Anolis sagrei: one gene and its partners. The protein of the gene in region 1 interacts with the protein of each later gene in a pairwise test. Links are inferred from orthologs where the notes say so. Each region holds a gene or a part of one and is shown in the gene's direction. Other genes may lie near its edges. The genes, in order: DMC1, NIF3L1, PSMA3 and KCTD17.

Region 1 (7,321 bases):
TGCTGAGAGGAGCATGTGTTTGCACTGATACACATAGGAACTAGAACCACAGAATTATAGATTTGTGGGGAACCACAAGAGTCTGCTAGTCCAATCCATTGCCATGCAGGAATCCACAGTTAAACCACCATGGGAAATGGTAACCCCATAACAATAGTGAAGGATAGTCTACTATCCTCTGGAGTAGGGTATCCTTATTAATAAAGGGACTTGGGGCGGCTTACAAGGTGCTACAAGTGTAGTATATAACACAAGCAGTACATGAGTATAAAAAAACCCACTATTAATACATCAAATAAAATAAAAACACAATTTAAAATGCAGACGATCTGTAGTTAAAACTAGCCACTTCCAATCACAACTGTCAATACTATCAAAGAGGTTCCCTTGATTTGTGTTGTTGAAGACTTTCATGGCTGGAAGCACTGGGTTCCTGTGAGTTTTTCGGCCAAGTATGGCCATGTTCCATAAGCATTCCCTCCTGACGTTTCACCCACATCTATCCGCAGAGGTTGTGAGGTCTGTTGGAAACTAGGAAAATGGGGTTTATATATCTGTGGAATGTCCAGGTGGGAGAAAGAACTCTTGTCTGTTTGAGGCAAGTGTGAATGTTGCAATGGTCCACCTTGATTAGCATTTAATGGCCTTGCAGCTTCAAAGCCTGGCTGGTTGCTGCCTGGGGGGAAATTCTTTGTTGTTATGTGTTAGCTGGCCCTAATTGTTTCCTGTCTGGAATTCCCGTTTTTGAATGTTGTTCTTTATTTACTGTCCTGATTTTAGAGTTTTTAAAATACTGGGAGCCAGACTTTGTTCATTTTTATGGTTTTTTCCTTTCTGTTGAAATTGTCCACATGCTTGTGGATTTCAATGGCTTCTCTGAGTAGTAGTGTACCTGGTGGTTGTTAGAGTGGTCCAGCAGTTCTGTGTTCTCTGATAATATGCTGTGGCCAGGTTGGTTCATCAACTGCTCCTGATTCTCTTTTCTTGTCATTTGAATCTGTTGATCCGTGTTCACAGTTTCTTGAGCACCAGAAAAGGATATTTACACCATATTTTACCTTCGTAATTCACAGCGGTGAGCTGTGGGCCAGTGTTGATGCAACAAGCCATTGGCCTTTGGTCTCAAGAGTTTCCAGGAAAGGAAGAAGCATATTACTCCCCAACCTTCTCTTCTGCAAACTAAACATACTTAGTTGTTGTAGGTTTTTCGGGCTATATGGCCATGTTCTAGAAGCATTATCTCCTGACGTTTCGCCTGCATCTATGGCAAGCATCCTCAGAGGTTGTGAGGTCAATATGAAGACACATAAAATAGCACGATAGCGTAAATCAAACCAGGTTAATCAGGATTTGTAAATTTTATCCAACAGTTTTGCTGTGAGAGACTGTATGAAAATATGGACTTAATGGAAATATGTCATTTCTTTCCTTAGTCTTTAGTTCTTATTTTAAGAGGAAAGATTGAGCTTATAAATACAGAATCTTTTGTTAGTCCTTTAAAGGGATTTTTGACATTTCCAAGGAATGAAAAGTAATCCCCTCCTTTGTAAATTAGATGATAAATCACGCTGTATCCTTTGTTCCCATGGTAAATATTTAATAAAGATAATTCTTGTGCACGTGTACATACCTGTTTTATTTCATTTTGAAAATTTATTTTGAAATTGGAAATTAGAAAAGCACATCTAATTGCGGCATCTTAGTTTTGTGCTTCACCATAATGTGTCTTTCCACAACTCCATATGCTAACTAAGGGGCTGAGAGTTAATAATGAATTTGTTTGTTTTCATAGAAAATCTGTTTATGCAAAAAAACAAAAACAAACAAACAAACTAGGAATCATTCTGTTTAGGATATTTCATATGTCTTCATTGCTTCACATGTTTATTCACCAAAGCTAGCTGCTGGATCCTCAACAACCTCTGAGGATGCCTGCCATAGATGCAGGTGAAACGTCATGAGAGAATGCTTCTAGAACATGGCCAGATAGCCCGAAAAACCTACAACAACCCAGTGATGCCAGCCATGAAAGCCTTCGACAATACATTACACATACTTAGTTTCCTTAGCTGTTCCTTAGCTGAGAGGGGCTGTTCCTTTAAGCTTAAGCGACTGAGAGGGGAAAGGAAGGGGCCTGAGGTTGTTAGGAATGATGGGAGTTGTAGTCCAAAACAGTCAGAGGGCTGAAGTTTGCCCATGCCTGCTATAGAGTCATGCAAGAAGACGTAAAGAAATTGTAGAGAAGTGTTCTCCCTGGTAATTTTACGTCCTGTGCCCCTAACCCTAGTGAATGTGATGGCTTGACACAATACATTTCATCTCCCCTCGCTCCAAAAAAAGATTCAAGGCAGCTCATACCAATACAGATCACAAACAGTCGATACATAATATCTCCTTATTCATTTTTTGTCCAAATATTCCTTTCAGTCAAGATTTTTTGGAGAAAGGCTCGCTTTCTTCTCAGGTCAAGCGGGAGAAGAAGGTAACTCGGCCTAGTCTGGCCTCGTGAGCCGCCTCTCGCTTGAAGCATCAAAGCCCTCTTTCCCCAGCAAATTCCTTTGCTATATTTTCATTTTATTTTTATAGCAGTGTCACTGAGTTAAAAAGAGATAGATAGATAGATAGATAGATAGATAGATAGACAGACAGACAGACAGATCACAAATATATGTTGAGAAAGATCTGGGAAAGGTGACTTAATCCCACACTGGAAATAACTAAGGCGTGTCAGAAGACTTCCTCATCCTTTGAAAGGTGACTTCCACTGTCATCTGGTGGGAGTTGTTCCGATGGAGCACATTTTGTGTACCCTGGGGATTTGTTCCTACCATCCTTATGAAGCAAACATAATATATTATTGTTGTGTGCCCTCAAGTCCTTTCTAGTCTATGGGAACCCGAAAATTGCCCCCATTACAGGGTTTTCTTGGCAAGTTGTTTACCATTGCCTTCCTCTGAGGCTGAGAGAGTGCAACTTGCCTCAGTTAATCTCCATAGTATTTCAGAAATTTGCTTTTCTGAAATACTTGCTGCAACTGTAATTATGTATACATGAGGGGTTTTACACACAGATACAAACCCACCAGAAATATTATATATTAGCCATATTATATATTTGCTGTGGCCTAGTCTGTGTATATGTGCTTTGTGTGTGTATATATATGTGTATATGTGTGTGTTTGCCATGTATATATATGGTTTTGCGCATGCGTTGTATTTTTTTTTTTTTTTTTAGCATTTTAAGTCTCTTCTGTGTTTTTATGAGTGATGGTTTCTCATTGGCCTGATGGGTGTATTGTGTCCAAATTTGGTGTCAATTCATTGAGTGGTTTTTAAGTTATGCTAATACCACAAATGAACATTACTTTTTTATTTATATAGACTAGCCATCCCCTGCCACGCATTGCTGCGGCCAGTCTGTGTATATGTGCTTTGTGTGTGTATGTATGTATGTTTATATGTGTATATATGTGGTTTTGCGCATGTGTTGTAATGTATTACTTTTAATTTTTGGCTTTTAAAATCTCTTTCACTGTTTTTCAGTGTTTTTATGAGTGATGGTCACTCGTTGGCCTGATAGGTGTATTGTATCCAAATTTGGTATCGCTTGGCCCAGTGGTTTTTGAGTTATGTTAATCCCACAAACAAACATTACATTTTTATTTATATAGATTGTCAACCCTATAATCTGTATATACTGATGTTATGGCTAAGACACAGTGTTTTGGGCCTATGTGAGTGTAGCCTTAATATGCATCAGTTAGGCAATCATCTTTAGTGGGTGTTACCATTCCTCCTGATCCCGCATCCATTTCTTCTTGTAGCATGAAAGTGTGTTTGTGTGTTGCATGGCCTGTTCCAGACTCCCGAAATTATCCTTCCCTTCTGGACTATGGAGGATGATGCCTCATAAAGCTGAAGTAAAATCCGTCAAGATTTGGTACATGGATTGTAAGGAGCAGGCCATCTTCTCCCTTCCTCAGCAGCAATCCTATTTTCTATTCCTGGGCCTATATGCCATTGTAAATGTGTAGATTATGCTTGTAGCTAAATTAATTAAAACTAAATTAAAAATGAGCGTAAACAGATGAGCAGCAACTTCTCCAACTTCAGATATCCAACGCCCTATCTGTTTCTCACATCTGTGGTTTTAATTTTGCATTTTCTGCGTGGAATTCTCTTTATATTTCAGATCCAACTGGCTATCTTTATGCATTTTAGAGCTGAGAACAATGATGAAACAAGGTCATCTTCAAAAATAGATAGACATGTTCTTTTTCTTTTTTTCCATTACTATTTCCCACCTTTCAATACTGCAATAATTATTGTTATATCACTTCAGGAAAAAATATTTTGATATTTTCCAAAAAGGTATTTTGAAACATGATGCGTGGAAAGCAGTAGAATTTCTTTTCCTTGATTCAATAACTCTTTTCTTTTCAGCTGTTATCTCACTGAATTGAAGCTGAGTGATTGGGTGACAAGTGTCATCCTACAGGTTCAAGTATGCTATAATTAGAAGAGAATGAAACATACTGAAAGTGAAACAGTAACTTTATTTTTGAGATTGTGAAATCTACAATTTTTACTGTCTCGTTTTCTCAAAACAATTTGATTGTCTAGTTTTTGTGTGGGAAGCACTTGGAAACAATGCCATATAAAATCTGCAAGGTTATAGTATCAAATTATCTAGTGATGTAGGGAAGAGAGTCTAGCACTTTTCTCTGATAAACTAGTTATTGCTGCTTCAGAGTGAAGGAAATATTGGGGTTCAATGGAAATGTACAACTTTCCCTTATATATATATGGTAATAAGATGCACATTTAATATTGTTTTTAAGTTGTTTTTAAATTGTTTTAAATTGTTTTTAAATTGTGTTAGTTTTTAGCCTGTTCGTGTAAGCTGCTCCGAGCCCCAGGGGAGTGGCGGCATATAAGTTTGAATAATAAATAAATAAATCTGGTTGCAAAAGCTCATTAGTGTGAAGAGTAACTATGTCTCTTACAGCAATAGTTTTGCTTTAAATATGTATTACAAATATTCACAAGTATGGTGAACTGAAAATGAGCCAGATTAATTTCAAAGGCTAATATGCCAAGAACCATTTCTTAAATTTTAACCCTTTATTTAAAAAGGACCTATTAATCTATCTTTCTTTGTCATTGATTCGGAGAGTACTTAGATCAGTGCCAGTCTCAAAATGCACTTCTATTTAAATTGTATTTTATTTAAATTGTATTACTTATTTATTACTGTACAGGGTATTGAATATTGGCCATTTTATGTCTGTGAGCCACCCTAAGTCCCCACGAGGAAATGGGGCAGGATATAATACAGTTTTGTTGTTGTTAATATACTATTTGTTGATATTTCTTTTTATCTTTATATATGTTAACATTATATAATTGCTTTCTGCAGTACATACTGACATCTTAGAACCACTTCCTTCACAATGAAATCTATGGAAGATCAAGTTGTACAAGAAGAACCAGGATACCAAGATGATGAGGTAAGGGTTCAAAGCTGATCAGCACTTGTTGTCATTGAGGATGCTTCTATCTATACTGAAGGCATAATGAAGTTTAGTAGTGGATTAAAACAAACTTGTTTCAATGTACAGCACCTACACAAACACCCCAGGAATCAGTTTGAGGCTAGAACAGTGGTCACAGTATTCGCTAAATGCGGATCAGAACTGAACCCAGGAACCTCAGTATCTGCGGTTGGAAGTGATCAGACAGCCACTGGAGAATGCATGTTTCCCCCATATTTGGCATCCCAAGAGTGGTTTATTGACTTTGCCCATTCATGCTATACATATTGTAAGTCCAGGCAACCAGAGGGTGATAAGAAGGACTTCCTAACAGATAGAGATTACCTGTCAGACAGCAAAATCCTTTCAATCCTTGGTCTAACCTTGGGGTGGAGATCCACATCTGTTTCAACCTCAATAGCAAAATAACCAAGCTTCTGGTTGTTGTTTTTTTTTCATATTCCCTCAGGAATCCTTTTTCCAGGATATTGATCTTTTACAGAAGCATGGAATAGTAAGTACATTCTAAAGTGTTTCTTTACTAATACTGTCTGTCTTGTAAAAGGATAGCCAGTCAAGATCCACAGTCAAATGTTTAAAATCTTTGATAACTTCAGACCTCTGGAAAGAGTGGTCTGTTTCTCCTTTGGCACCCTGCTGGATAGAAAGAAAGATATGGAGCAGAGAGAATGGTGCCAGAAAGAAAAAAAATATTGTGGCAGAAAGTGAGAAAAGGGTGACGCCGCTGCATACTGCAGGCATTTGTCCTAGGCACTGAAATATTTCTTCCTCTGACATATTCTCCTTCCACCCTGAATGTGTCTCTCCATGATCTCAACAGACAAAAAATAATAATTCTGTGTCACTGTTCTAATAAATTACAGATTGTATAGAGCCAATGTGGCATAGTAGTTTGAACCATGACAATGACTCTGGAGAACAGGGTCAAAATCCTAAATCAGCACTGAAAAACCCATTTTAGAAAAACCTAAATGTAAGGAAAAATAAAATTGTGACTGATTAATGTTCCAGGAATAACATCCACAGACATCAAGAGTTCAAATCATATTTTCTCTTTTCATAGAATGTGGCTGATATCAAAAAGTTAAAATCAGTGGGAATTTGTACAATCAAAGGGATTCAAATGACAACAAAACGAGCACTATGCAACGTGAAGGGACTTTCAGAGGCTAAAGTGGAGAAGATAAAAGAGGCTGCCAACAAGCTTATAGTAAGAAAGTTCTATTGCTCATAATGAAGATTATCATCAGTGGTCCTTTGGATGTTAAGAATGTATAATAGTTAATATGCTTAGCAAGCCATTGTAGATTAGAATTGTTGTGGTACTATGGGGTTGAATTTGGACTAGGACTGCGGATATGAAGGGTCTGTTCCTGGCGAGCATTTATGCTAACAGCCAGTGTTCCAGAATAAAGAACACACTCACCAGCTGAAGACAGCCACCAAGGTTTATTTTACGATCTATCCAGGAAGGATGCAAGTAAGGTTGGTGCCAAAAATGTACAGGCATAACATGCAATACAGAGACACGAGGTTTTATACATGTGTCCTGATTGGCTGGTGCTCTGGTGACGTTGCCGCCTCCAGGTGGGGATTCCTGGTAGAGGGAAGGAGATGGAAGGGGGTTGGCCTGAGGAGGGCCAATCAGTTGTTGGGGTGCGGCTCTCCTGGAGGGCAGCAAGCCCAGGAAAATCTATGTACATATCAGGAAATACAGAAGAGTCTCTGATTGGTTTAATTGTTTCACTCCATGGTGATGAGGAAGTA
Region 2 (7,886 bases), on another chromosome or scaffold:
AGACTTTACATGCCTCCCCCCCCCCCTTTTTTTTTGGTCGTGTCAGGAGCGACATGAGAAACTGCAAGTCGCTTCTGGTGTGAGAGAATTGGCCGTCTGCAAGGACGTTGCCCAGGGGACGCCCGGATGTTTTGATGTTTTATCATCCTTGTGGGAGGCTTCTCTCATGTCCCCACATGAGGAGCTGGAGCTGACAGAGAGAGCTCATCCGCACTCTCCCCGGATTCGAACCTGCGACCTGTCGGTCTTCAGTCCTGCTGGCACAGGGGTTTAACCCACTGCACTCCCGGGAGCTCCTATGCCTCCCCCTGACTGGCTGAGAAACCTTGCCGAATAGGATCCACACAGGGATTTTTTTTTGTCGTGTCAGGAGCAACCTGAGAAACTGCAAGTCACTTCTGGTGTGAGAGAATTGGCCGTCTGCAAGGACGTTGCTCAGGGGACGCCCGGATGATTTGACACAGGGATTGGCCAGGGGTTTCCCTGATGTCACTGACAGGAGGAGGAGATCCCCATGGCAGCAAGAAGAACAACAACTGATGTTTGGTCACTTTAAAGGTCCAGTTTGTTGCAGAGACACCCGCTGGAAGGGCACAAAACTGAGGGAAGGGATGACATAAGTATTCAGATGATTCTTTGATCTTGATTGACTTAAGTGTCCAGTTCCAGAGAGACAAAGGTGCAAGACCCACAGGACAAAAGATGATAATCCCAAATAACAAGAGGCTGGGCTGCCTATTCAGAAGATTAATGTATTCATATTTGTTTAGCTTTCACTTCCATGAGAATGGCAGCCTCCATCCTCATTTGAACAGGAAAACATCCTAAGCATATCTTTGTAGCAAAAGGATCAGATCATCTGTCTCACATACATACACAAAGGATTTTATCTGGCTTGGGAGATCCTTGTTTTATATAGCAATTTCCGTTCCCAGGAGCTTATGCAAACAGGGGGCATTGGGGCAGCAGATACCTTCAGGCTACATTTGATACAAGTTTATACATTTAGATATTGATACAGTACATAAGCAATACAAGTTACACAGAGAGTAGCATTTTTATACATTCATTAAGGCAGGGGTCCTCAAACTTTTTAAACAGAGGGCCAGGTCACAGTCCCCCAAACTGTTGGAGGGCTGGATTATAATTTGAAAAAAACATGAATGAATTCCTATGCACACTGCACATATCTTATTTGTAGTGCAAAAGACACTTTAAAAGAATATAATAATTAAAATGAAGGACAATTTTAACAAATATAAAGTTATTAGTATTTCAATGGGAAGTGTGGGTCTGCTTTTGGCTGATGAAATAGGATTGTTATATTTGTTGTTGTTGTGTGCTTTCAAGTCTTTTCAAACTTAGGTTGACCCTGAGCGAGGGCCAGGTAAATGACCTTGGAGGGCCGCATCCGGCCCCCGGGCCTTAGTTTGAGGACCCCTGCATTAAGGGGTTAAGCTTTGATAGAGTTTGGGACACAGTTCTAGCTAGATCCTCTGCGGCTTCAATATCGCAAATCTCTGAATGGGTGGGAAATGTTTTAAAATTAAAGAAAAAATCATATTTCTTGCTTGGGGTCTTTTTATTGTTCATAACCTTTTGGAGGGGGTGTGCCATGGCTTGACAACATCATCATGGGAAAAAGGTGTCTCAACAGAAGTTTTATTACCAATCCTGTTTCCGCAAAAAAACATTTTTTCCAAAATCTGAATAGGGGCACAGACAGCAAAACAAATGCCACAGGGGTTTTAACCTTTCCCTATGCTGTCCAAAGCTTATATATGGGGGGAGGGGTAGATGGAGATACGCTTAAAAATGTTTCTGTTCTAATTAAACATACAAATTCAACTTCATAACAAACCTACAAAGTGACAGACTTTGTATTTCTAGGTGCAAAGATTACTGCAGATGCAGACTGTAGCCAGGAAATCAGAAGACGCTTACTTCTTGGGAGGAGAGCAATGTCCAGTCTCGATAAAATAGTAAAGAGTAGAGACATCAGACTGGCAACAAAGATCCGCCTAGTCAAAGCCATGGTCTTCCCTGTAGTAACCTATGGATGTGAGAGCTGGACCTTAGGGAAGGCTGAGCGAAGGAAGATCGATGCTTTTGAGCTGTGGTGCTGGAGGAAAGTGCTGAGAGTGCCTTGGACTGCGAGAAGATCCAACCAGTCCATCCTCCAGGAAATAAAGCCTGACTGCTCATTGGAGGGAAGGATACTAGAGACAAAGTTGAAGTACTTTGGCCACATCATGAGGAGACAGGAAAGCCTAGAGAGGACAATTATGCTGGGGAAAGTGGAAGGCAAAAGGAAGAGGGGCCGACCAAGGGCAAGATGGATTGATGGCATCCTTGAAGTGACTGGACTGACCTTGAAGGAGCTGGGGGTGGTGACGGCCGACAGGGAGCTCTGGCGTGGGCTGGTCCATGAGGTCACGAAGAGTCGGAGATGACTGAACGAATGAACAACAACAACAACAAACCTACAGAATCTTGTTTGTAACTTGAGGACTGCCTGTATACTCTAAAATAGTGTGTTTCTAAATAGACAGCTACCTGTTTCTCAAGGAATACCTTGCACGCAGTTAGGAAGAAGATATTGAAACAACCAGCCTCACCATCTGTGCAGACAAGGAATTCAAATCAGAGCCACCTGAAGAGTTTCTGCAAAAAAACCAGAAAAAATAGCTATAATGAGTGGAAATGTGGCTTTGCATGCTAAAAGCAATATTGCTCTAGTAGTAAAGGCATGGAGGAACCACTTGGATGAGAATGATTGTACTATTTTTGTTTTTAGCAGAGTGACCAGACTGAATCCCACAGTTGAGAAAGATTAGCATATTTATTATGACATGAAAAGCAATCCAAAATGTTAAAGCTATAATGCATCTGTCAGTTTCTAAGGTGCCAAAAGCTCTGTTTTTCCTGCAACAAGTCAATTAAAACTGAATTTAACATTAGCATGGTTTTTAAAAACCCGGAAGAATTGGCATTATTTTAAAAGGGCAGAGGCATGTACTATTTGCAAGGTTAAAGAGTTCTTATCCAAAATGATTGGGACCAGAAGAGTTTTGGATTTCAGAATATCTGCATGTACAGAAGTAGATAATGAGATATCTTGGAGACAGGACCTAAGTATATACACCTTATACATAAAGTCTAGATCCACTATGCTAAAAAAAGTTCAAATAGGAGTATTTGAACTGTCAGGGGTACTTTGATTGTGCTTTTCATGCATTGATAGTTATGTACATGTGTATTCTGAATACATGAAGTTGTGAATAAACCAAGTATGTTATTTTTAACTAACTCTACTTCATTTTTGTCTAGAGTGCATGATATTAATCACTGAGCCTGGAATCCCAGGTTGCAGCGGTGGCCAGGGGAGTGTTCACACAATTAAAACTTGTGCGCCAGCTGCACCTGTACCTTGGGAAGTCAGACTTGGCCACAGTGGTCCACGCTCTCGTTACATCTAGGATAGACTACTGCAACGCACTCTACATGGGGTTGCCTTTGAAGACTGCTCGGAAACTTCAAATAGTCCAATGAGAGGCAGCCAGGTTAATAACTGAGGCGGCATACAGGGAGCATACAACTCCCATGTTATGCCCAAATTACCCGGCCCAAATTACCTGTCCGAACGCATCTCCCCCTATGAACCATCACGGAGATTAAGATCCTCTGGGGAGTCCCTGCTTTCCGTCCCGCCATTGTCACAGGCACGATTGGTGGAGACGAGAGACAGGGCCTTCTCGGTGATTGTTCCCCGGCTATGGAACTCCCTTCCTGGTGAGATCAGGTCGGCCCCCTCTCTCCTGTCCTTTAGAAGGATGGTAAAAACTTGACTCTGGGACCAAGCTTTCGGGACAGGGCAATAAAGCGGCAATAGGAAAGATGACCAGGCCAATGATTTGATGCGGATGACTAGGACGGTTTTAAATGGTGTATTTTAATATTTTGATAAATGTTTTTAATGTTTATGTATGTGTCCCAGCATTGAATGTTTGCCGTATATATGCTGTTCTCCGCCCTGAGTCCCCTTTGAGGTGAGAAGGGCGGAAAATAAATGTTTTAAATCAATAAATAAAACGAGTTTTTTATGGGAGAGAAAAAATATTTTTGGACACTAAAAAAACTTCTGAAGCACTGCTGTTTTTTATGCACTGGAAAAATCTGTTTTCCTAACAGATCAGAGATAACAGGTTATTCAGTCTAACAACTGAAACCATTGCCTTGCATTATTATATCTGGTTGCATACCACAAGAGAAGGGTCTCCTCTAAAGGGTTTTTGGCTCTACTCTGAAAGGTCTAAAAAGATCTAAAAAGTTATGATCTCCAAATGGTTATGAATGCCATTTTCTCCTTCTACTGGGAGGAGGCTGATAGGCATGAAGTAACTGGTTCAAAACACATAATGAATTCAACTGAAATACATTTTAAAACACACAACCCCCCCCCCTCCACACACACACACATACACACAAAATCTCACTCAAAACGACCATGGAAAGGTTTTACTCCTGCAAAGAGATCAGGGGTGCGCCTCTACTCTGTGGAATGAATGCTTTTTGATCCCATGGCTCGCTGCTCATGGGAGTTGTAGTTTTACAAGGTCTTGCGCCTTCTCCACCCAAGAGTACTGGATGCCACGCCAAACTGCAGCTCCCAGGCCTGCATAGCATTGAGAAGAGGCGGTTCCAGTGGGACCAAACGGCACCCATTGCACTACAGCGGGGCCTGCTTCCCAGGAAGCGCCTGGCCCAATGGGGCGCTTACTTACCTTCTTCCCGCCAAAAGGCCCCTTTCCTCTTGCTTGTTGTCGTCCTCCTACTTCCTGGTGAGGCCCCGCCCCCGCTGCCACCCGCTAGGCCACGCCCCCTTCCTCTCTCCAGCAGAAGAGGGCCGCCTTGCATTCAAAACGTGCTCCAGCTGGAAGCCCTCCCAGTCTATCCCAGGCTGGAAGAGAGGTGAGAGGGCCATTCAGAGACAACCCCCCCCCCCCAATACCAGGAAGGAAGGGATTTTAAATGAAGGAGGGAGGAAATTGGGAAGGGAAGTTGCTGGGATGGATCTACACTGAGGAATGAATGCAGTTTGACCACACATTTATGCCCTGGCTCAGTGCTATGGGATCAGGCAGTACATTTTCAGATCTGCTCATCTGTCAAGGATTAGGGTTGTTGTAGGTTTTTTTCGGGCTATATGGCCATGGTCTAGAGGCATTCTCTCCTGCCGTTTCGCCTGCATCTATGGCAAGCATCCTCAGAGGTAGTGAGGTCTGTTGGAACTAGGAAAAAGGGGTTTATATATCTGTGGAATGACCAGGGTGAGACAAAGGACTCTTGTCTGCTGGAGCTAGGTGTGAATGTTTCAACTGATCACCTTCATTAGCATTTGAAGGCCTGCCTGAGCCTGGGAAAATCTCTTGCTGGGAGGTGTTAATCTGTGCCTGGTTGTTTCCTCTCTGTTGTTTTGCTGTTGTAATTTTAGAGTTTTTTTAATACTGGTAGCCATATTTTATTCATTTTCATGGTCTCCTCCTTTCTGTTGAAATTGTCCCCATGCTTGTGGATTTCAATGGCTTCTCTGTGTAGTCTGACATGGTGGTTGTTGGTGTGGTCCAGCATTTCTGTGTTCTCAAAGCACCTGATGAACCAGCCTGGACACAGCATATTATTTGAGAACACAGAAATGCTGGACCACACCAACAACCACCATGTCAGACTACACAGAGGTTCAATTCCATTATTGCTGGAGTTCAGAATGCTCTTTGATTGTAGGTGAACTACAAATACCAGCAACTACAACTCCCAAATGACAAAATCATTTTTTTGAGTCATGGTCACTCCATGGGTTAGTAGGTGTCTTGTAGCCAAATTTGGCAGCAATTCGTCCAGTGGTTGTTGAGTTATGTTAATCCTACAAACGAACATTATATTTTTATTTATATAGATGTATTTGTGAAATATCCAGTTTTTTGTAGGGCCCTTCCAGACAGGCCCTATATCCCATAGTTTGATCCCAAGTTTTCTGTTTATCCCTGATTTCTGATTATCTGGTAGTGCAGACTCATATAATCCAGTGTAAAGTAGAAAACCTGGGATCAGATCCTGGGATATAGGGCCTGTCTAGGAGGGCCCTAAGAATGTACTATTTATCCTAGTATTTCTAATTGTATCGTTGCCTTTGGCGTTCTTTAGGCACCTGCATGCAGTTCTCCTACCTGAAGCCAACTCCGCAGCGCCTCTTGAGTGTCCGGTCCTGGATTGATGTGCCTTTGAGAGCCTTCATGGATCTTAAGGTCCTGGTTTCTTCCCTCAATGGGTTTGCTCCGCTGTCGCTGGCTGAGAGTTGGGACAATGTGGGGCTCCTGGTTGAACCAAGCCCTCCCCATACCGTCAGCACCCTCTTTTTGACCAACGACTTGACCGAGGAAGTGATGGAGGAGGCCCTCCAGAAGAAAGCCAATCTTATTCTGTCTTACCACCCACCCATTTTTCAGCCACTCAAACGCCTAACGTGGAAAACGTGGAAAGAGCGTCTCATTATCCAAGCCCTGGAAAACAGAGTTGCCATTTATTCTCCCCATACAGCCTACGATGCTGTGCCCCATGGAGTCAACAACTGGCTTGCCAAAGGACTTGGTGAGACATCCCTTTTCTGAATTTTTCAAGAATTGGCAATGATGTCTGTTGTCTTTTAAAAACATTTACATTGTAATTTTACTCTCAATGCTACTGTTTTCTGTTGCTGAAAGCTGACATGTCAGCACCAAGCTCACGTCACGCAAATAGTGGCTTACTTATAGATGGTTGTGTCAAGTTATGTGTGGAGGGGAAGCTGAGAGTAGCAAACCAATTACATGGTTTAAACAATGGCATATATGAAAAGGTAAGTTCACACCATTCTTTGAAGCATAATGAAGATTAGGTGATTGACTTGTGTGTCCTCCCATGGTAGGCAAAATTCCCTCTCTTTGACTGACAGTCCTCATCATGACAAGCTGTTTTGACATCATCCTTCACTACAGTTAACGCTACACATGTTTCCTTATGGTAAGCCACTTTGAGTCTCCTTGTGGAGAGAGAAAGCGGGGTATAAATAAACATTGTAATAATAATGATAATATTTATTTATTTATTTTTGTCATGTCAGGAGCGACTTGAGAAACTGCAAGTCGCTTCTGGTGTGAGAGAATTGGCCGTCTGCAAGGACATTGCCCAGGGGACGCCCGGATGATTTTTGATGTTTTATCATCCTTGTGGGAGGCTTCTCTCATGTCCCCGCATGAGGAGCTGGAGCTGATAGAGGGAGCTCATCTGCTTCTCCCCGGATTCGAACCTGCGACCTGTCGGTCTTCAATCCAGCCGGCACAGGGGGTTTAACCCTCTACGCCACCAGGGGCTCAATAATAATAATAATAATAATAATAATAATAATAATATACAAAGACTCTGGCACATGCCAGTAAAGGTGGTCCCAGTGGTGATTGCACTTAAAAACAGTGGTGATCTGCACTTAAAAACAATTGACGCTGACAAAATTGCCTTGTCAGCTGCAAAAGGCCAAAACTCGGACCTGCATGCATTATTTGCCGATACGTCACACAGTCCTAGACACTTGGGAAGTGTCCAACGTGTGACAAAAGCCAGCATAGTGATCTTGTTTGCTGCATACTAATCTTGTGTATTTATCTATCTATCTATCTATTATTATTATTATTGACACAAAAGCACAGTATGTCACAGCAAACGAGATCTATATGCTGGATTTCGTTTTACAAAATCACAAGTCGAACACTTCCCAAGCGTCTAGGACTGTATTATTATTATTATTATTATTATTATTATTATTATTATTATGCTAGAATTTTAAAACCAAT
Region 3 (6,877 bases), on another chromosome or scaffold:
CCAGCTTCTGGCCACCAGGGAAGCTGTCACTTCACTGCAGTTTCTCATGAGAATATGGGCCTAGCAATGATAATTCCCTCCCTCCCTCTATGAGCTCTCAAGATTTGGGTTTGGAAAACAATCTGACACCTGAGAATTTTAATGAGCAGCCAGAAAGGGAGCTGAAGAATAGCCAAAACAGAGTCTTAAATGCAAAGGCAAAGTTTCCAATATCCAAAGGCAAATAACATGAAGTATAATCCATTAGCATTGGTTAAACAAGAATCCATGGCAGCATGACAAGGTCCCCAAAAACCAAGATCAAAAGCTAAGTCCCAAAGAGCTAAAAGCTTTCCCCAAAAGCCGAGTTAATTCCAGAGAGGTTAACGGGGTTTAAGCAACATTGCACTGGCAAAGGATTGACTTCAATCAGATCGTTAAATATGTTTCCCTAGCATGAAAGCATTACGTTGACCTCAAACTTCCCGTTTGTTGGCAAGCTGAGCACTTTGACATATCCTTAATTGCAAACAGTCCTCCCTAATCAAATCTCCATCACCTTCAAGGCCAGATAACTCATTATCCTGAGACTGGTTATCCTGGGAACCAAGAGGCACTGAGCTCCCAGATGGAGCGGCCGACTCCACCGGCAGATGTGAAGATTCACTTAAATCATGATCTAAAACAACATACCCTTCTCTGGGAAACAGAAATGCCGTCTCTTCTTCAGAATCAACACTGTCTGTCTCAACAACAGGGACAGAAATCTGTAACCCATCCTCCTCCTTGTCCTGAGGAAACTCAGGCTCAGAAAGCTCAGGCTCAAAGTGAGCCACAACACAATGGCATAGACACACAACATATATAGGCCGACACTCAGAGGCTATTTAACATTCCAGCTTCTGGCCACCAGGGAAGCTGTCACTTCACTGCAGTTTCTCATGAGAATATGGGCCTAGCAATGATAATTCCCTCCCTCCCTCTATGAGCTCTCAAGATTTGGGTTTGGAAAACAATCTGACACCTGAGAATTTTAATGAGCAGCCAGAAAGGGAGCTGAAGAATAGGCTGCAGGTGATTAGCCAGGATCGACAGCAAACTTCAGTGTTTTCGTTGCTCTGAAAAACTTTGCCTGATAAGGGGTAAATGTGGGAGAAAGCGAAACCAATTTCTGAGTTTTGGGGTATAAGGTTTGCCTCAAGGGGAAACCTATTAGATCAGGCATCGTTTGGAAATCAAGTTCATGTGCCAGGAGCGGGACGCAGGGAGCATACAACGCCCTTGTTGTTCCAGCTCCACTGGCTGCCGATATGCTACCGGACCCAATTTAAGGTGCTGGTGTTATCCTACAAAGCCCTAAACGGTTCCGGCCCAAAATACCTTTCAGACCGCATCTCGGCCTATGAGCCCACGAGGGCCTTGAGATCGTCTGGGGAGGCCCTTCTCTCGATCCCGCCTGCTTCACAGGCACGTCTGGCGGGGACGAGAGAGAGGGCCTTCTCGGTGGTGGCCCCCCGGCTGTGGAACGCCCTCCCTGTTGACATCAGGCAGGCGCCCTCCCTTATGTCTTTTCGTAAGAGCCTAAAGACATGGCTATTTGAGAAGGCATTCAATTAAGTGTACATCAACTGGTAATGACAACTGGAACGGAATATGGATTACGAGTTTGGTTATGATTCTACGATAAGACGGAGCGGATTACCTTAGTATAATTATATTAGTGTGTATTAGTGATATGTTGATTTTTTGTCGTGCTTTATTGTAAACTGTTTTTTATATGTTGTACACCGCCGTGAGTCGCCCTAAGGGGCTGAGAACGGCGGTCAACAAATGCAGCAAATAAAATAAATAAATAAATAAATGGAAATCCTGTTCAAGGGGTCCTGTTTCTCTGGAGTCTTTTAGCCTTTTGGATTGTCTTTGCATCCTGTTGATTCCTGTCTGGATTAATGCTGTCTTGGATTGCTTTTATATCTGGTGTGGACATTGCTTTGTGTTACTACCTTTTATGGACTTACCACTTTTTGGAACATTCTTATTTTCTTACAAGCATTTATTACTTCTGGCTATTTACTAAGCTTGAATAACATATTTGTTTCTTCACTCTTCGTGTGGTGTGTTTTAAAGTCAGAGGGCTTTTTCCTGACCTGGAGTGCAACAGTTATAATATATATAATATATAATATATGTTGCAACATTTGTTGTTCTCACTAGATTTGGAATATTGTGATTCTGATGGAAATAAGAAAGAAAAATATAAGGAAATATTTTTTCAGTCAATTTCTTGTACAGCTGGAGGGATCTGAAGATAATTTTCTGTTCATCTGCATATGTACATTCTCACCTGAATGTAAAAGTAATTGAATTTACAGGGTTGTTGTAGGTTTTTTCGGGCTATATGGCTATGGTCTAGAGGCATTCTCTCCTGATGTTTTGCCTGCATCTATGGCAAGCATCCTCAGAGGTAGTGAGGTCTGTTGGAAGTAGGAAAAAGGGTTTATATATCTGTGGGATGACCAGGGTGAGACAAAGGACTCTTGTCTGCTGGAGCTAGGTGTGAATGTTTCAGCTGACCACCTTGATTAGCATTTGATGGTTTGGCAGTGCCTGGGGGAATCTTTTGTTGAGAGGTGATTAGATGTGCCTGATTGTTTACTCTCTGTAAACAGCAAAACAACAGAGGGGAAACAATCAGGCACATCAAAGAGTTGGAAGAGACCTCATGGGCCATCCAGTCCAACCCCATTCTGCCAAGAAGCAGGAATATTGCATTCAAATCACCCCTGACAGATGGCCATCCAGCCTCTGTTTAAAAGCTTCCAAAGAAGGAGCCTCCACCACACTCCGGGGCAGAGAGTTCCACTGCTGAACGGCTCTCACAGTCAGGAAGCTCTTCCTGCTGTTCAGATGGAATCTCCTCTCTCTGACAGTGCCTAGAGCAAACTTTTTTGAGAGGTGATTAGATGTCCTTGTTTGTTTCCTCTCTGTTGTTGTGCTGTTGTAATTTTAGAGTTTTTTAAATATTGGTAGCCAGATTTTGTTCATTTTCATGGTTTCCTCTTTTCTGTTGAAATTGTCCACATGCTTCTTGTGGATTTCAATGGCTTCTCTGTGTAGTCTGACATGGTGGTTGTTGGTGTGGTCCAGCATTTCTGTGTTCTCAAATAATATGCTGTGTCCAGGCTGGTTCATCAGGTGCTCTGCTATGGCTGACTTCTCTGGTTGAAGTAGTCTGCAGTTTGGTGGTCCCTATGTAGGCACATGTAATCACCTCTCAAAAAAAGATTCCCCCAGGCACTGCCAAACCATCAAATGCTAATTAAAGTGGTCAGTTGAAACATTCATAGTATATATAATATATGTTGCAACATTTGTTGCTCTCACTAGATTTGGCATATTGTGATTCTGATGGAAATATAAAAGAAAAATATAAGGAATTTTTTTTTCAGTCAATTTCTTGTACAGCTGTGACACAGTTATTGTTGATGAAGTCCCAAAGAGGTGAATTGAGCTTTTAAAAGAAGATTCCAGCTATTCAGTTTACCATAATAGGAGAAATAATAGGTTTTATTTGTAGATTTTGATGTAAACAAAAACTGACCCGCCCAACGTGGGGCTCGAACCCACGACCCTGGGATTAAGAGTCCCATGCTCTACCGACTGAGCTAGCCGGGCGCTGACAAAGACCCCTCACAGAACCTTCCTTGTGGAATTCTTCGCGCATGCGTATTCGCAGATTATCGATTGTGGATTTCTACGCATGCGCATTCTTTTCCTCTGCTGCCGCGCGCCAACTGCGGCTGCCGTGACTGGGCGCATTCTTGGCCCCGCCCCTTCTGCTAACGGCGAGAGGAGATTGGTCGAAGCTCCAGAGGCGGTTGTCCAATGGTTGGGCGCGTTGCTGAGCAGTGACTGAGCAGTGTGAGTGAGGCGGCGGCAAAGAAGAATCAGGAGGGCCGGCTGTTTGCTCTCAGGCCTCTTCCGCCATGAGTTCCATCGGCACCGGGGTAAGTCAGGTAGAGGAGAAGGGAGAGGGCTCCCCCGAAAAGGAAAACAAAGGCGGTGGTGGTTAATCTCTCCTCACTTCGAGGGTCTCGGCCTCACACAGTGCGGTGACGTCATATCCGCGCGACTCGTAGAGAGAGGCCTAGCCAGTTGTAGGCCGCTGACTCACTTGAAGGGAAAGCGAAAGCGAAGGAATCAAGTAGGAGCTTCTAGACCAAGCCTGGCCCAACTTGGGCCCTCCAGGTGTTTTGGACTTCAACTCCCACAATTCCTAACAGCCTATGACTGGTATAGACACATCCATAGTCCAATGTTTAAAGCATTACACCATCTATTTTCCTATATAACAGTGTTGCTCAACCTTCCTAATGCCGTGACCCGTTCCTCATGTTGTGGTGACTCCCAACCATAAAACTATTTTAGTTGCTACGTCCCACCTCGGAATTTAAGATCTTCTGGGGAGGCCCTGCTCTCGGCCCCACCTTTATCACAAGTGAGACTGGTGGGGACGAGGGACAGGGCCTTCTCGGTGGTGGCCCCTCGCCTGTGGAATGCACTCCTCTCCTTCAGAAGGAAGTTAAACACCTGGATGTGGGACCAGGCCATCGACCTCAGAGTTTAAGATCTTCTGGGGAGGCCCTGCTCTTGGCCCCACCTTTATCACAAGTGAGACAGGTGGGGACGAGGGACAGGGCCTTCTCGGTGGTGGCCCCTTGCCTGTGGAATGCACTCCTCTCCTTCAGAAGGAAGTTAAACACCTGGATGTGGGACCAGGCCTTCGACCTCAGAGTTTAAGATCTTCTGGGTGCTCTCGGCCCCACCTTTATCACAAGTGAGACAGGTGGGGATGAGGGACAGGGCCTTCTCGGTGGTGGCCCCTCGCCTGTGGAATGCACTCCTCTCCTTCAGAAGGAAGTTAAACACCTGGATGTGGGACCAGGCCTTCGACCTCAGAGTTTACTCAGCCCCCCCGAAAACCCCCTGAAAAAAAATCACACCCCCCCCCGAAACGAAATCCTAGCTATGGGCCTGGCTGTGACTGTATTATTTTGATTGTTTTAATTAGTTATAATTGTTGACATTATCTTGGAATTTTGTATATTGTATTTTGTGAATTGTCGGCCATCGAATTGTGCCTTTTGTAAGCCGCCCTGAGTCCCCCCTAGGGGGTTGAGAAAGGTGTGGTAGAAGCACCCCAAATAAATAAATAAATAAACTTGATTTGTCGTGTCAGAGCAACCAGTCAATTATATTACATTTGTAACAGAACAAAGCAAACAAACAGACAAAATACAAAACTTGTGAGTTTGGTAGTTGGTTAAATGTCCTTTGACCAGTATCTGGCCACTTGGAGTGCCTCCGGTGTTGCTGCAAGAAGGTCCTTCATTGTGCATGTGGCAGGGCTCAGGTTGCATTGCAGCAGGTGGTCAGTGGTTTGCTCTTCTCCACACTCGCATGTCGAGGATTCCACTTTTTTTGGCCCCATTTCTGAAGGTTGGCTCTGCATCTCGTGGTGCCAGAGCGCAGTCTGTTCAGCGCCTTCCAAGTCGCCCAGTCTTCTGTGTGCCCAGGGGGGAGTCTCTCATTTGGTATCAGCCATTGGTTGAGGTTCTGGGTTTGAGCCATAAACTGTCATTTTGCTATTGTTATGAAACGTGATGTAAATATCTGATATGCAGGATGTATTTTCATTCCCTGGACTAAATTTGGCACAAATACTCGTTACGCCCAAATTAGAATTCTGGTGCGATTGGGAGAGAGGAGTTATTTTTGGGGATTGGAGTTGCTGGGATGTATAGTTCACCTACAATCAAAGAGCATTCTGAACCTCACCAATGATGGAATTGAACCAAACTTGGCACACAGAACTCCCATGGCCAACAGAAAATGCTGGAAGGGTTTGGTGGGTATTGACGTTGAGTTTTGGAATTGTAGTTCGACTACATCCAGAGAGCATTGTGAACTCAAACAATAATGGATCTGGACCTAACTTGGCACGAATACTCAATTATTATTATTATTATTATTATTATTATTATTATTATTATTTATACCCCACCACCATCTCCCCAAGGGACTTGGTGCGGCTTACATGAGGCCAAGCCCAACAGCACATCAATAAAACAGAAAAACAATAAACAAAACAATACAATGCTATACATTGTATTGGGACTAGAATATGCCCAAATGCAACCACTGGTGGGGTAATCACACCAAATTTGGCAATAAAACGTCTCACAACACAAGGAGTGACCATCACTCAAAAATTACGATTTTGTCATTTAGGAATTGTAGTTGCTGGGATTTATAGTTCACCTACAATCAAAGAGCATTCTGGACCTCACCAATGATGGAATTGAACCAAACTTGGCACACAGAACTCTCATGGCAAACAAAAAATGCTGGAAGGGTTTCGTGGGCATTGACCTTAAGTTTTAGAGTTGTAGTTCACCTACATCCAGAGGGCACTGTGGACTCAAACAATAATGGATCTGCACCAAACTTGGCACGAATACTCAATATAATAATAATAATAACAAATAACAACAAATAACAACAAATTAAACATTTAAACAGTATAAAACCACAATAGAAGCAATAAAAACAACAAAACCAACATCATTATCATCGGCGTCTCCTAGTTAAATAACGTTGTCCAAGTTCCATTGTTGAATGACAATGCTTGCTCATATAACCATGTCGTAACTTATCTCCGAAACGTTAAGAATGAGGGAGCTGATCTAATCTCCTTAGGGAGGGTGTTCCATAGCCGAGGGGCCACCACAGAGAAGGCCCTGTCTCTTGTCCCCACCAAACATACTTGTGATGAGGGCGGGATTGAGAGCAGGGCCTCCCCAGACGATCTTAAAGTCCTAGATGGTTCATAAGGGGA
Region 4 (7,567 bases), about 2.1 Mb from region 1:
ACAATCCTCTCTAAAGCATTAGTTAAACCATCAGCCTCCGCAGTCTCTGGCTGATATACAACACTTATCAGTTCAGATTGCTTCTAATCAGAATTACTTAACACTTAGGAAACATATTATTTTAAGAACATTTTAAAATATTATTTCCATCCCTAATGACACAATCTCTTTATAATAATCCTTGGCGGAAAGCGATGATATGGAATGATATTTCACATTTAGAATTACACATTTTTTTACATTCTGAAGTCTTTTGATGTGGCCAAATCATGTCATATAATATGGACACACAACAGCGGTTCTCCAAGATGTTGGATTGCAACTCCCACAATCTCCCATCACTACTTTTGCTCACCAGTATCCCCAATATAGGGCAAACTCTCTGCTATTCAGATGTTTTGGCTTTTACCTCTTGTCATCCCAAACACAATTTGAAGTGTTTGATGTTTTCCTAAATTTTAATTCTTGAGGTGTTTGGATCTTCAACTCTCAGAAGCTTCACCTGCATTGCCCGATGATCGAGGATTCTGGGAGCTAAAGTCCAAAATATCTGGAAGACCAAACACACTGCTGTAATCTACTGTATTAGGAGAGCACCAAGTTCAGGAAAGCTGACCAAGGAAAGTGAAGCGAAGGGATAGCTCCTGGCGAAAATTCAGTGGGAAGGGTTCAAGGAAAGCTTTCAGGTATACCACAAATAATTTACACTTCCTGTAAAGCCTGTTTTATACTCTGGAAAAACACCAAGGTGCCTTTTTAATTTTTGAAACCCCCAATATGTTAAAAGAATTTAGCAATACCAGCTAAGGAAGCCGCTGCTCTACATTTGTACACTTCTGTTCTGCAAGTGACAAAACACATCTGCAAAAGAAAAGTACTGCCTCTGAATCATGTCACAGCATGATTGCAAAATCTGTGAGTGATATAACACCATTTGGAAGGGAGGTTTAATTATGGATGCATCTATTCTACAGATGGATGCATCTGTCATAGATATCTATCTTAAGTAACTAGCCAAATCCTGCTTTTAGCTGACTGCCCTGCATATTATTTTTATAGATATCATGGGACATTCTATGTATATTCTATACTAAGACAAAGCTAAGCAGGTTGTGGCCCTCCAATATTGACTTATGACTTCTGAAACCCTTCACTATTGCTTTAGCTTGCTGGGCATTATAATTCCACATCTAAAAGACCGCATTTATCCAGCCTGTTTTAAATGCTGCGTCACAAGTTATGGACTTGCAGTTGTGTTTGCCACCTAATTCAGTGCTACGCAAGGCTGGTTTCTGAGCCAAGAGCAACAAGTTTACTGGAAACTATGCAAATATGGCAATAAGTGGCACATATATGCTAGAGCTCCTTACTACATTGCTGTCCACCACATCAAACAGCTTGGGAAATTGTGACCTAATGTGCACAAAGCCAGGAGTTACAATCAGTTGTGATCAGCTGTGAACAAGTGCCTGTATTTAAAAACAAGACTGATCACATGTACATTTATTTATTTAATTATTTACAGCATTTTTATCCCACTTTTCTCAGCCCGAAGGCTACTCAGGACGGTGTACAGATTGGCAACAATTAGATGCCACAACAAAGATACATACATATCAATTAAAAACATTTAATATCACATAATAAAAATCCATATAAAACCATCTAAACTATAATCATCAATGTCTTCCAGTTCAACTTCTTATCCATTTACAACGTTTAAGCCTTTCCGTGTTCATTATTTCATTGTACTGTATTTATCTGTTATGCTGTGCTTCCAAAAGCTTATTCGAACAGCCAGGTTTTTACTCATTTCTGAAAGGTCAAGACAGAAAGGGCTGCTCTAATATCCCTGGGAAAGGAGTTCCACAGCTGAGGGGCCACCACTGAGAAGACCCTGTCTCTCGTCCCCGCCAAATGCACCTGCGAGAAAGGCGGGATTAAGAGCAGGGACTCCCCAGATGATCTTAAGTTCCTAGATGGTTCAAAAGGAGAGATATATTCAGACAGGTAAGCTGGGCCGGAACAGGTTAGGGCTTTATAGGCTAAAGCCAGCACTTTGAATTGTGTTCAGTAGCAAACTCATAAAGCTTGTTCTCCAGACCATATGTTTTTCTATGGGTGAGCGGACATCACTTGAACTGCCCTACCTCAGGGCTAAGCATCCTCAATTGTTTGCGGGCCTTTTTGAAGATCATAGAATCATAGAATCACTGAGTTGGCAGAGAACTCGGGGGCCATCGAGTCCAACTTCCTGCCAAGGATCAGGAAAATTGCATTCAAAGCACCTTCGATAGATGGCCATCCAGCCTCTGCTTAAAAGCCTGCAAAGTAGGACCTTCCACCATGGTCCAGGTCAGAGAGTCCCACTGCTGAACAGCTCTCACAGGAAGTTCTTCCTAATGTTCTGGTAGTAGTTTGAAGCTATTGTTCCACATCCTAGTTTCCAGGGCAGCAGAAAACAAGCTTGCTCCCTCCATCCCCTGACTTCCCTTCACATATTTATACATGGTCCTCATCATGTCTCCTCTCAGCCTTCTCTTATGCCCAGCTCTTTAAGCTTCTCCTCATAAGGCTTGTTCTCCAGACCATATGGTTTTCTGTGGGCGAGCAGATGGTGACTACTGGATGACATACGTTATGTATCAGAAACTAGAGCTGATGTGGTTTAGCCAATGCCATTTTCTGAATCAGCACTCAAAATAACCAAACCAAATCTAAAGTTGACCAAAACCTGATTTGTAACCCTTTTGGTGCTAATATTGGAGAGTGGTCCCTGGTCAAAATAAAGGTTGGGAACCACTGTTCCACAATGAACCCTGAGGGGTCTGGGTTTTTGTAGGTTTTTTGGGTTATGTGGTCATGTTCTAAAAGCATTCCATCCTGACATTTTGCCTGCATCTATGGCAGGCATCCTCAGAGGTTGTGAGGCCTATTGGAAACTAGGAAAATTGAGTTTATATATCTGTGGAATGTCCAGGGTGGGAGAAAGAACTCTTGCCTGTTGGAGCTAGGTGTGAATGTTTCAGTTAGTCACCTTAATTAACATTTGGTGGCCTGACAATTTCCAAGGTGTGGCTTGTTACTGCCTGGGGGAATCCTTTGTTGAGTGGTGACTAACTGTCCCTGATTATTTTTTGTCTGGAATTCCCCTGTGTTTGAGTGTTGTTCTTTATTTACTCTTATAATTTTAGAGTTTTTTTTTAAAAAATACTAGTAGCCAGATTTTATGCATTTTCATGGTTTCTTCCTTTCTGTTGAAATTGTCCACATGCTTGTGGATATCAATGGCTTCTTTGTGTAGTCTGACATGATAGTTGTTAGTGTGTTCCAGCACTTCTGTGTTCTCAAATAAAATGCTGTGTCCAGGTTGGTTCATCAGGTGCTCTGCTATGGCTGACTTCTCTGGTTGAATTAGTCTGCAGTGCCTTTCATGTTCCTTGATTCGTGCTTGGGCGCTGTGTTTGGTGGTCCCTATGTAGTATGTAGACTTGTCCACAGCTGCATGGTACATGGTAGACTCCTGCAGAAGTGAGAGGATCCCTCTTGTCCTTTGCTGAATGTAGTATTTGTTGGATTTTCTTGGTGGGTCTGTAGATAGTTTGTAGGTTGTGTTTCCTCATCAGCTTCCCTATGCAGTCAGTGGTTAATTATTATTATTATTATTATTATTATTATTATTATTATTATTATCCCTTGAAGTATGGCAAGAACACTTTTCCTCTGGGTGGATCTTTGTCTTTACTTTCCTAGCTTGTTCTCGCTCTTGCAGCTCTTCTGATGTCTGTGGCGAAGTATCCTTACTTACTTAGGCGATCCCTCGTTGTCCGAGTAGGATGTACTGGCGGTGGACTTGTAGGTGACTGTGGAGCCCTATTCATGTTGGTTCCAGGTGGGAGGTGGTCCCGGTCAGGGTGGGCTTGACATGGCTTCCTCTTGGCACGTTTCTCTCTTTTGCCCTCTATTCCTGCTCTTCAAATTCCATAGCACTGCTGGTCACAGCTGACCTCCAGCTGGAGCACTCAAGGGCCAGGGCTTCCCAGTTTTTAGTATCTATGTCAGAGTTTTTAGGGTTGGCTTTGAGTCAATCTTTAAATCTCTTTTCCTGCCCACCAACATTCTGTTTTCTGTTCTGGAGTTCGGAGTAGAGCATGCTTTGGAGTATCCATTGGCCTGTCAAGTCCAGTTTAGGTGGTTCAGTTGGTCAGGGACCATTGGATAGACCACTTTAGGTGGTTCAGTTGGTCAGGGACCATTGGATAGACCAGTTTAGGTGGTTCAGTTGGTCAGGGACCATTGGATAGACCAGTTTAGGTGGTTCAGTTGGTCAGGGACCATTGGATAGACCAGTTTAGGTGGTTCAGTTGGTGGGGTTCTCTCGGGAGGGCTCTCGTTCATAGCAGATTTCATGCAAGTCGGTTTAAGAGCAGATGCAGTTCACCCGGGTGGCGCTGCTTAGCTTTTTCCTCAATCACAGCAGAGGCATCTGAAGCTCTTGGAAAGCTTCTCAGCTCCTTCTGAAAAAAAAGGAGGGGGGGGGGAGCAAGGAAGACCCTCCCACTGCATTCTCTCAGCCCCTCCTTTCCGTCGTGGGGGAAAGGAACAAAACTACAAGTCCCAGAATCCTCCAGCGCCGGCCTCACTACACCTGCCCGAGGGGAGTCCCGCCTGTTTGTGGCGGCGGCGAGGAGGAGGAGGAGGAGGAGGAGGAGGGACGGAGATGAGGATGGAGCGAGGCGAGGCGGCGCCGGCGGGCCCGAAGGCTGCTGCTGCTGCTGCTCCTCCTGCTCCTGCTGCTCCTTCTTATGGCTGGGAAGGCAGCCCCCCGGGTCCCGGCCCCCGAGGCAAGTGGGTCCGGCTCAACGTCGGCGGCACGGTCTTCTTGACCACCCGGCAGACCCTGTGCCGCGAGCAGAAGTCCTTCCTTTGCCGCCTCTGCCAAGGCGAGGAGCTGCAATCGGATCGGGTGAGCGAACAAAGGGAGGCAGGGAGGGAAGCCAGCAAAGAAGGAAGGAAGGAAGGAAGGAAGGAAGGAAGGGGCGCCTCGGTTAGAGCATGTTCTGAGCGCTCTGTGTTGTCATCCCCGGGCATGCACTTCCATTGGAATCGCTGAAATGCTTTGCCTGTACATGTGCCCTGTTGGTTAGACTCCAAAGGAATCCCAAAGCCTCCATAGGGATCCCCAAGCGCTCATGGCCCGTTTGGATGCACACATATCTCCAGGCAGATCTTGGTGTCTATTTGTAAATACTGTTAGGTGTTTTAGAGTTGTACTCCCAAACTGGAGCCTCCGGTGGCGCCATGGGTTACAATAAACTCTTGAGCCTGCAGGTAGGAGGTTCGAATCCGGGAAGAGCGGGGTGAGCTCCCTCTGTCAGCTCCAGCTTCCCATGGGGGGCATGAGAGAAGCCTAACACAAGGATGGTAAAACATCAAAACATCCGGGCGTCCCCTGGGTAACGTCCTTGCAGACGGCCAATTCTCTCACACCAGAAGCGACTTGCAGTTTCCCAAGTCGCTCCTGACACACACACACAAACAATGTCAGGATCGACTTACAGTTCCTCAAGTCACTCCTGACACACACAAACATAAACAGTGTCAGAACTGACTTACAGTTTCTCAAGTCGGTCCTGACACACACATGTGCACAAAAGTTCCAAATTGTACTCCAATGAAAGAGTCTTCCTTGGAGGTAGAAAATCCCCAAGAGTGAAGTCCCAGTGTTTTCCTTCTTCTTCCCCCTTTATTTTTACGTTGTCATTGTTTGAAGGATTTCTGGCTTATGCCATGCGGGCCTTATTAAACAAGCAAACTTCTTTTCTGATTGGACTAAGGATAGGCCATTGGATAGAAAATGGGGCTCAAAATTCGTTGATTTGGATCTCACCTCAGGAACCCCCGGTGACGCAATGGATTAAACCCTTGTGCCAGCAGGACTGAAAATTGACAGGTTGGAGGTGCGAATCCAGGGAGAGCATGGATGAGCTCCCTCTGTCAGCTCCAGTTCTCCGTGCAGGGACATGAGAGAAGGATGGTAAAACATCAAAACATCCAGGCGTTCCCCTGGGCAATGTCCTTGCAGATGGCCAATTCTCTCACACCAGAAGCGACTTGCACTTTCCCAAGTCGCTCCTGACTTGAGAAAACAATCCTTCCTAGAATCCTAGAGTTGGGAGGGATCCCCAGAGTCATCCATCCCAACTCTGCTCTTCCTAATGTGTAGATGGGATCTCTTTTTCCTTCCATTTGCATCTATAGTCTCTCGGATCCAAAAGGCTTCACAGGGATTCCAAAGAAGGAAAAGTTCAGTTTGACAGGAAAGGAGATTCTACCTGAACATGAGGAAGAACTTCCTGACTGTGATATCTGTTCAGCAGTGGAACTCTCTGCCCCGGAATGTGGTGGGGGCTCCTCCTTCTTTGCAGTCCCAACCTCCTGCCAAGGAGCAGGAAAATTGCATTCAAAGCACCCCCTGTCCATCCAGCCTCTGCTTAAAAGCTTCCAAAGAAGGAGCCTCCACCACACTCCGGGGCAGAGAGTTCCACTGCTGAACAGCTCTTACAGTCAGGAAGTTCTTTCTAATGTTCAGGTAGAATTTCCTTTCCTGTAGTTTGAAGCTATTGTTACGCATCCTTGTCTCCAGGGCAGCAGAAAACAAAGCTGCTCCCTGCTCCCTATGACTTCCCCACACATATTTATACATGGCCATCATGTCTCTTCTCAGCCTTCTCTTCTTCAGGCTAAACATGCCCAGCTCTTTAAGCCACTCCTCATAGAGCTTGTTCTCCAGACCCTTGATCCTATCCGGGGAAAGACATCAAAAAGTGTGCTTTCCTGTAACTTCCAACTAATAGACAAAGAGTGCACCTGCACTGTAAAATGAATGCAGTTTGACATCGCTTTAATTGCCATGGCTCAGTGCTTTGGAGTCCTGAGATTTTTCATTACAGTGTAGATGCACCCCAGGCCTCTCAGACCCCCAGTTGACTTCCCTGTGATGGCAGTTTTCAGTACTCCCACATGAAAAGGAAAACCTCTTTCGTTCAATTCTTTGTTTCTGCAAAGTCACATCCGCACAGCAGTTTTGCTTCCAACCTGTGACCCTGGGGTTTCTCAATTTAGATTCAGGATACACCAGATTTTTTCTCCACTGCACATGCCCCCACCCATTAGGTTTTGGATTTGGGGAGATTTAGGAAAGGGGACAGCCGGCCCAGCAGTGTACATAAGCTGCTTAAAGAGGCAAAGTTCTCTGGGCTGGGATCGGGTCGAAACGCAGAGAGTTGGAATAGAATAAAACTTTGGGTAAGAGCCCAGCTGCAGTCAGTACTAGAGTTAGCAATGAAATCAAGTTAACTGTGAAACCAAGGGATTGGAACTCTTTCCCACCCCACAGGTCTCTGAAGATCTCTCTTCTGGGGGATCTGACCCATGACATGTATTTTGTTGAAAATATTTATCCCTGAGGCACTACTGGCATCACTTTCATTGTGTACACCAGAGTTGGACTGTGGTGAAATGTGGCCCCGGGGAAATACTTTTATTGTTTGGCTCCTGTGCCTTT

The links.
Region 2: the proteins of DMC1 (region 1) and NIF3L1 interact in binary tests that used the Homo sapiens proteins (3 or more experiments, as listed by UniProt). The two-hybrid records come from large-scale screens. The link is inferred for Anolis sagrei from reciprocal best matches to the Homo sapiens genes DMC1 and NIF3L1.
Region 3: the proteins of DMC1 (region 1) and PSMA3 interact in binary tests that used the Homo sapiens proteins (3 or more experiments, as listed by UniProt). The two-hybrid records come from large-scale screens. The link is inferred for Anolis sagrei from reciprocal best matches to the Homo sapiens genes DMC1 and PSMA3.
Region 4: the proteins of DMC1 (region 1) and KCTD17 interact in binary tests that used the Homo sapiens proteins (3 or more experiments, as listed by UniProt). The two-hybrid records come from large-scale screens. The link is inferred for Anolis sagrei from reciprocal best matches to the Homo sapiens genes DMC1 and KCTD17.

What each region holds. Positions count from the first base shown.
Region 1 is NC_090025.1:163,973,131-163,980,451, forward strand, and holds the start of DMC1 (meiotic recombination protein DMC1/LIM15 homolog), read left to right. Parts: upstream 1-4,321; 5' UTR 4,322-5,452; coding exon 5,453-5,509; intron 5,510-6,002; coding exon 6,003-6,047; intron 6,048-6,617; coding exon 6,618-6,764; intron 6,765-7,321. UniProt on the Homo sapiens protein: Participates in meiotic recombination, specifically in homologous strand assimilation, which is required for the resolution of meiotic double-strand breaks.
Region 2 is NC_090021.1:176,902,490-176,910,375, forward strand, and holds the start of NIF3L1 (NIF3-like protein 1), read left to right. Parts: upstream 1-4,865; 5' UTR 4,866-4,971; intron 4,972-6,204; 5' UTR 6,205-6,212; coding exon 6,213-6,648; intron 6,649-7,886. Other genes in the region: PPIL3 (peptidyl-prolyl cis-trans isomerase-like 3), read right to left, coding at 2,619-2,621. UniProt on the Homo sapiens protein: May function as a transcriptional corepressor through its interaction with COPS2, negatively regulating the expression of genes involved in neuronal differentiation.
Region 3 is NC_090021.1:334,685,882-334,692,758, reverse strand, and holds the start of PSMA3 (proteasome subunit alpha type-3), read left to right. Parts: upstream 1-3,857; 5' UTR 3,858-3,965; coding exon 3,966-3,986; intron 3,987-6,877. UniProt on the Homo sapiens protein: Component of the 20S core proteasome complex involved in the proteolytic degradation of most intracellular proteins. This complex plays numerous essential roles within the cell by associating with different regulatory particles.
Region 4 is NC_090025.1:166,112,679-166,120,245, reverse strand, and holds the start of KCTD17 (BTB/POZ domain-containing protein KCTD17), read left to right. Parts: upstream 1-4,564; 5' UTR 4,565-4,720; coding exon 4,721-4,966; intron 4,967-7,567. UniProt on the Homo sapiens protein: Substrate-adapter for CUL3-RING ubiquitin ligase complexes which mediates the ubiquitination and subsequent proteasomal degradation of TCHP, a protein involved in ciliogenesis down-regulation.